2 linked regions of the Saccharomyces cerevisiae S288C genome follow. The protein of the gene in region 2 binds, or shares a complex with, the protein of the main gene of each other region. Each region holds a gene or a part of one and is shown on either strand. Other genes may lie near its edges. A codon is read from its position in the direction of its gene.

The links. Proteins that work in one complex are often made in the same cells at the same time.
Region 1: the proteins of RRP45 (region 2) and RRP46 are in contact, whole or in part, in a crystal structure (PDB 5OKZ), measured with the Saccharomyces cerevisiae proteins. Residues at the interface, in NP_010566.1 of Saccharomyces cerevisiae: Lys3 (codon at 1,453), Asn53 (codon at 1,303), Lys55 (codon at 1,297), His57 (codon at 1,291), Arg59 (codon at 1,285), Ser61 (codon at 1,279), Ser80 (codon at 1,222), Glu82 (codon at 1,216), Ile83 (codon at 1,213), Ser84 (codon at 1,210), Pro85 (codon at 1,207), Met86 (codon at 1,204), Ala87 (codon at 1,201), Gly88 (codon at 1,198), Ser89 (codon at 1,195), Glu92 (codon at 1,186), Asn93 (codon at 1,183), Arg135 (codon at 1,057), Asp137 (codon at 1,051), His139 (codon at 1,045), Leu141 (codon at 1,039), Asp142 (codon at 1,036), Cys143 (codon at 1,033), Asp144 (codon at 1,030), Leu225 (codon at 787); in NP_011609.2 of Saccharomyces cerevisiae: Ile9 (codon at 2,053), Leu10 (codon at 2,056), Asp11 (codon at 2,059), His12 (codon at 2,062), Val13 (codon at 2,065), Ile27 (codon at 2,107), Cys28 (codon at 2,110), Ser29 (codon at 2,113), Thr31 (codon at 2,119), Ile34 (codon at 2,128), Glu35 (codon at 2,131), Lys37 (codon at 2,137), Glu49 (codon at 2,173), Ile51 (codon at 2,179), Arg53 (codon at 2,185), Pro54 (codon at 2,188), Ala55 (codon at 2,191), Lys56 (codon at 2,194), Gly57 (codon at 2,197), Val58 (codon at 2,200), Ala59 (codon at 2,203), Leu87 (codon at 2,287), Gln89 (codon at 2,293), Thr91 (codon at 2,299), Cys92 (codon at 2,302), Gln93 (codon at 2,305), Leu95 (codon at 2,311), Glu96 (codon at 2,314).

What each region holds. Positions count from the first base shown.
Region 1 is NC_001139.9:675,040-678,370, reverse strand, and holds RRP46 (exosome non-catalytic core subunit RRP46), read left to right. Parts: upstream 1-2,028; coding exon 2,029-2,700; downstream 2,701-3,331. Other genes in the region: thiamine transporter TPC1, read right to left, coding at 806-1,750; VAS1 (valine--tRNA ligase), read right to left, coding at 2,871-3,331. UniProt on the Saccharomyces cerevisiae protein: Non-catalytic component of the RNA exosome complex which has 3'->5' exoribonuclease activity and participates in a multitude of cellular RNA processing and degradation events.
Region 2 is NC_001136.10:1,019,120-1,022,205, reverse strand, and holds RRP45 (exosome non-catalytic core subunit RRP45), read right to left. Parts: upstream 1,460-3,086; coding exon 542-1,459; downstream 1-541. Other genes in the region: PHM6 (Phm6p), read left to right, coding at 1-199; RNH202 (Rnh202p), read right to left, coding at 1,786-2,838. UniProt on the Saccharomyces cerevisiae protein: Non-catalytic component of the RNA exosome complex which has 3'->5' exoribonuclease activity and participates in a multitude of cellular RNA processing and degradation events.

The DNA.
Region 1 (3,331 bases), on a different chromosome or scaffold from region 2:
TATTCAGTGCAAAAACTAGTGAAAAAAAAAAATAGGAAAAAAGATAAAGAGATGACAGAAAGCTAAACGCTTACAAGAAAAATGATGGATCGTAAACACGCAATCCAACAAATCGGCGGTGATGGTGATGATGAATCATCTCCGGAGGTTTGAAACTTAGAATCTGACATTTTTTCCCGCTTATTTTTGCGATTTTTTTTTTTGGTAGGATCAGGCGAGGTTGAACATCTCCCACGTTTCTCATTTCTTGGCTATTAAGGAGCCAAGAAATGAGAAAAGGCGAAAAAAAAAAAAAAAAAAGAAAAAAAAAAGTGTAAGTATGCCACATCTAAGAAGGGTGGCTACCACAAGGGTGCAGAGATTGCAGCAGTCCTTGCTTTCTTCAATTTTACTACTTCTTGTTACTCCTAGTCCGTGTGCTTGCGCAGATGTAAGTTGTGTTGAAACAACAAGCAGATGTAGTGGTCCCTGACGCTGGTTCCATCGGAAGATCCGATTCATTGTTTCCTTCTCTCCCTTCCCCGCTGACTGAGCGGAAAAAAAGATAAAAAAAAGAAGAAAAACCGGTGCGGGGCAGCAGGCAACTAAGAAAAACCGGAAAAAGGGTTGGCGTCAGATCGCTAGCAACGAGATTCCTCTTTTTTTTTCGATTTTTTGTTATTAGAGGAAGACGGCGCGACTGAGTCAGGCCGTAATCGGAATGGAAAACCGGGCGGCTACCGATCTTTGTCAGTGAAGAATATAAGATATGATGATTTCGTATATGTATATGAGTGTGTACATGTGACAAAAAAGATTGGAAACTTTAGTACATCCGCAAATAATGGATGGCAGTTTCATACCCCCAGAAACTCACAAAAGTGGTGGGTATTGTCTTGGAAAGGGCCACCAGAATACCTCTGTAAAGCGAACTCACACCTTCTTGTTTCAAAATCTGTAAACCGATTCTTGCGAATCCGTACCCTTTATAAGAACCGTATACAGACGAATGACGGGAGAACTTTTCCAGATGCTTCGAATTCATGAACTGCATTCGCCTACGGATCGTTTCGAGGGGGAAAGTAATGATCTTAGCAATGACGCCGCCAATGGTACCAGCGCTGTGATTTAAAGTAGCCAGTTCCCATTTTTTATGCGCGGCGGTCGTTTTTTCGTTTTCGTCACAGTATATCCTGATTGTTTCGTATGTTCCGAACATTATAGATGCGGTTAGAGTTATGGTTGTCATTGACGCGATGGAGCCCTTGAAAAATCCGGGGAGACCTTCTAGTTTCCAGATATCACGCACTTCTCTCGTGATGCTCATTGAGTGCATCTGGTTGTTGGCAACTAGTCGGGTCCGTAAAACATCGAACGGGTAGGAAACGATGGAACTGGTTATGCCAGCAAAGGCTCCGACAACAAGACTATGTAAGCGCGCCTCTAGTCCAAATGGAGTTAAATATCTATTAAAAAGGGAGTATGAACTAAACTGCGCTGAGCCATAGGTAACGTACAGCAAAGAACCGGGTATGTTACCCTTCCAAAAGGACCGGATGCCTTCGTTCTTTATCATGCTTCTGGCCACCTCCATGACCTGACTTCCGAAGGGCTTCAGCCCATTTGCAGGGGTCAATTGCAATCTGATCTTAATGGTATCCATGGGAGCAGTTATGCTACGGGCAAGCAGCCCGGATACGGCGCCAGCCAACAAAGTTTTCCACGCGGCCACATTTTGCCCTTTTCTTAACGAGTCCTCCTCTTTGAACATATCAACATTTATGTACTTTGAATGGTTTATATAAAGCTCCAGACTATGCCAAGTTAAAGGTGACAAAATAGCGCCTTTTCTTCATAAAGACTATTATGTACCTCTCTTTTTCTTTTTACTACTTTTTTTTTCCTTTTAAGCGCATCGGATTGTGGAAAAAAGAGTGGAAAATTTGTTAGATGAACCAGTTAAGATGCATAAAATATCTCTGCATATATGGTAATAACAAGGAGCCCAATACCAAGAATAGATTAGATTCTGCTGAAAAAAAAAAAAAAATGAGCGTCCAAGCAGAAATAGGGATATTAGATCATGTAGATGGTTCATCTGAATTCGTATCACAAGACACCAAGGTTATTTGTTCTGTAACAGGCCCTATTGAACCAAAAGCAAGACAAGAACTGCCTACACAATTAGCATTAGAAATTATTGTACGTCCCGCGAAAGGGGTGGCCACAACAAGAGAGAAGGTACTCGAAGATAAATTACGGGCAGTTCTGACCCCACTCATCACTCGTCATTGTTACCCAAGACAGCTCTGCCAGATAACTTGTCAAATTCTGGAATCTGGTGAAGATGAAGCCGAATTCTCCCTGAGAGAGCTAAGTTGTTGTATAAATGCGGCATTTTTGGCTTTAGTTGATGCAGGAATTGCCTTAAATAGTATGTGCGCAAGCATCCCTATTGCAATAATCAAAGACACTAGTGATATCATTGTCGATCCCACTGCCGAGCAATTGAAGATTTCGCTCTCTGTCCACACTTTAGCTCTGGAGTTCGTCAATGGCGGTAAAGTCGTGAAAAACGTTTTATTGTTAGACAGCAATGGTGATTTTAATGAAGATCAATTGTTCAGTTTACTGGAGCTGGGTGAGCAAAAGTGTCAAGAACTTGTCACAAATATAAGAAGAATAATACAGGACAATATATCACCTCGTCTAGTTGTATAGCCATTATAGATTATAATATACCACAACATGCTATGTCGTATGCCGGAGACTACCTCTTATATTTGGAAATAGTTATTATTCAATGTTCTAAAATTCTTAACATTTTCGTTGTTACATATACATAGCATATATATATATATATATTACATTAATTTTTATCTACCTTCAATCTACAATTTCAAACGCTTCAAGTTTTCAATAGTAGCTTCCAAACCTTCGATTTCGGCAACAGTGTTATCCAGCTTGCTTTTATTGGCTTCCTTGGCCTGTGTATTAGCCTTTGTTTCGTAATCCTTACTGTTAATGGTTTGTTCAATACCGTTCTTGGATTTTTTAGCCTTTTCAAGTTTCTTTTGAACTTTCGCAATTTCAGCATCAATATCAACGTGTCCCTTGACGAGAAGATGTACATTGACTTCTGGGTTAACAGATTGCAATACGCAACCTTCTGGAATTTCGGAAGCATCACGAACAACAGTGACTTCGTCGATGGCCTTGATCAACGAGACAATAGAATCTTTCTGATCTTCAGCAGTTTTGAAGTATTCCTCGTGGTTAGATTCAACGAAAACCTTACCATTCTTCAAAATATTGTACTCAGATAACAAGGAACGAGCTTCTTTGGTAATGT
Region 2 (3,086 bases):
TGATTACACAGTAGATTTGGAAGCAGGTCTTCCGCGCCACGAGAGTAGTGGAAAAAGTAATACCCTCAAACAGTGTTATAACGCCGTTCTAGGGTTTCTCGAGGAACTCATCATCGTCATTATTATTGTGTTGCTGTTGTACAGTTTGACAATGGTAGGTCTTTTTTATGTGATGACGATGACGAAGTTTTTGTTTTAATAATAAGAATAATGGGATTTGTTTTCTTTCAAGATTTTTCTTTTGGATAGTACATGCCTTCAGAAATTAAGCAGGGAGGCAAAAGATAATATTTTCTCATATGCATTTATAGCCGAGCCTTTTTTCTTCGCAGTATGCGTTTGTTTTATAGTAATTTAATGATTTTTATGTTTTTGAACACCGCAGTCAAGAAAACAGTAGGAAAAAAACTGCGGGCGTCTTTCATACTGCCTTTAGTAGTAAGTGTAATTTTACAATCTATACGTACCGATATATATACATATATTAATGCATGCATGTATATGTATAAGCGTTGCTTTTATTTCAGTTTTTTCGTTAATATTAGATCTCGCGGGCATTTTCAGATGTAAGCATGGCTGCATACTTGTTTCTCTTTTCTGAATCCTCCTTTAAAAGCTGCAGTATTTGATCAGTTATTTTCTCAATAATGCTGTAAGCCTCGTGACAACATTTCATTAGCGTCAACGCATCCATTGGTAAACCACCCGCTTTGGAAACTTGTACCACTTCACGGTTTTTGTTTAGCGTAACCGTCAATACACCATCTCGCAGTAGTTCCTCTTTCAATGTTGCATCAATGATGGAAATTTCTGAGTTAGTCTCACCTTTTATGTTTTCCTCGGTGTCTTGAGGATTGAAGAAAGAAAAAGTTACACATATTGGAATATGCAGTATACCTAGTGGAACTGGCTCTCTTTCATTAACAGGATGAACAATGATCTGCTCGCCATGGACAGTTATATCTGGTTTCTTAAAATGCATCAATCCTGCCATGACGGCAATACACGAAGCGTCAATAAATCCACCATCACAATCCAGGAAATGTACATCAGCTCTCACAGCCCAGCATTTACTGCCAGCAACGATACATAGTCCTTCCACGTCCAATGCGCCCGACCGCCTAACAGATTTTTCAATTATTCTTGAACATAAAACTTCATCTTCCCCCGTGATATTTCCATTTTCAAATTGAGAACCAGCCATAGGAGATATTTCTGTAGATATTACAAATAATCCTTCAAATGGCCTGTCTTCGTATGGTTGTGCTATTTGACAACTAATCCTGCAGTGAACTTTGGTGTTGCCCATTTTTACGCTAACATCACCAAATTCTTTACCAAACGTTATTTCCACGTCACGAAATTGATCAAAGGAGCGGCCGTCCAACCTATAATTCTGTCTCAGTGCTTCTAAGATAAATTTTGACTCGGATGCGGATATCTCAATGTCTTTGGCCATTTGTCTTTTAATCTAATGTATATTCTGAACAATTTTGCAATCACTACGTCCTGTTGATTAATGTATCGAGACTGAAAGTTAGGAAGTTAGAAAAAAAACTTGAAAGTTGGTAAGGTAAATACAATCTAGCAACCGTTTCCTATTCCTTTATATTCAGACATTTGTTAACATCATCGAGGGAAAAGTTGTTAATTTTTTCTTGAATTCGAGAAAGGAAAAAAAAGGTAGCCCATTCGTTGGTAGTGACAATATTGTGTAATTATCTCGCACTGAGGTCATCACCACCGAGTTATAGCATTCAAATTGCTGTTTAATTATGATACTAGCTACTTACGTTTAAAAAATCCATCAATGGCCCCTTTTCCTATGGCTACTTTTGGTTTTTTATTTTGAACTATTTTTTTGGTAACTTTTTTCACTGGCAATGAAACCCTGCCATTCGAATTTAGGCCTACATTCATGGCACTTTTCATCAGTAATTCTCTTTCAGCATTCTGTAATTCGTTCGTAGTCTCGTAGTTTTCGAGTTCTATGAAGCTAGCTTTTATATCCGGATTTAGGCAACCACTATCCATTGTAGGTGAAAAGGTAAGTAAATTATGGTAGGCCGCCCTTGGAATCAGGGAAACTAAAAGATTTGTAGCCATAACTACCTTGTAGCACTGTTTTATTTCCGTTGGGGCATTTTTAAGTGTAGGGATACTTGGAGGAAAGTTTTCTACAATTTTTGATACCTTGCCTAACAAAAATTGTGTTATCATTGCAGATGTGATCTTGTAATAGACGTCACCAGCTTCCTCAATGGTTTCACTAACTTTTGCTAAGCCACTCTTGAGACGACTTAAAGAAATGTTTTCCCAATTCTTGTCATGGTTATCCGTTAAGAAATCATGGTAATCACGCACCGTAAGAAATTTCTCATTGGTTTTGCTGTTGCTTTTTTGGTTTTCACCAGTATCACTTGAATTGGAGTAATCTTGTTCATCTGCTGAAACACTGTTTCTATAGTAAAATCCAATCAAACTAAAAGCAATATCGTATAAAGAACAAAAGTGTATTTTGCTTGAGTTAAAAACATAACCATCGGTGGGATCAGACGTATTTACAATGAAAGTTGATTTGATCGGGTGATTTTCCTTAGTATAGTGATATTTATCATTTGCCAAATCTTCCTCATGTGAATACGAGGGCCCTTTGCCGAATTGAAAAGATCTTATTTCGTAAAGTTTTCCATTAATATTTTCGAAGAGCTCGATACGAGGTTTGGATGTAATATTGGAAGGTGGCGGCAGTGTAAAAGTGTTTATAGTTTTCGAAGTTTCATAATCGTCTGGTAAAATTATTAGTCGTTCTTCCCCCCCAATGTTGGAAACGGTCATGCTTTTTGTTCGAGAGGCCAGAAAAGAAAGTCAACTATTGCGACAGAATAAGATTAAATTTGTACTCGATTTGTTTCTGCTGTTGTACCAGAATCATTAACCAGATCTGACTTTAATTCTCATCGCGCTCGTGCTTTTGACAAACTTGTGAGAATGGAGTCTGTAGTGCCTTAAAAGGAAAAAAACGCGTTGTGGTTATGAATATGAGATTTCATAATCCAACTATGGCATCGACAACATTGAAAAGA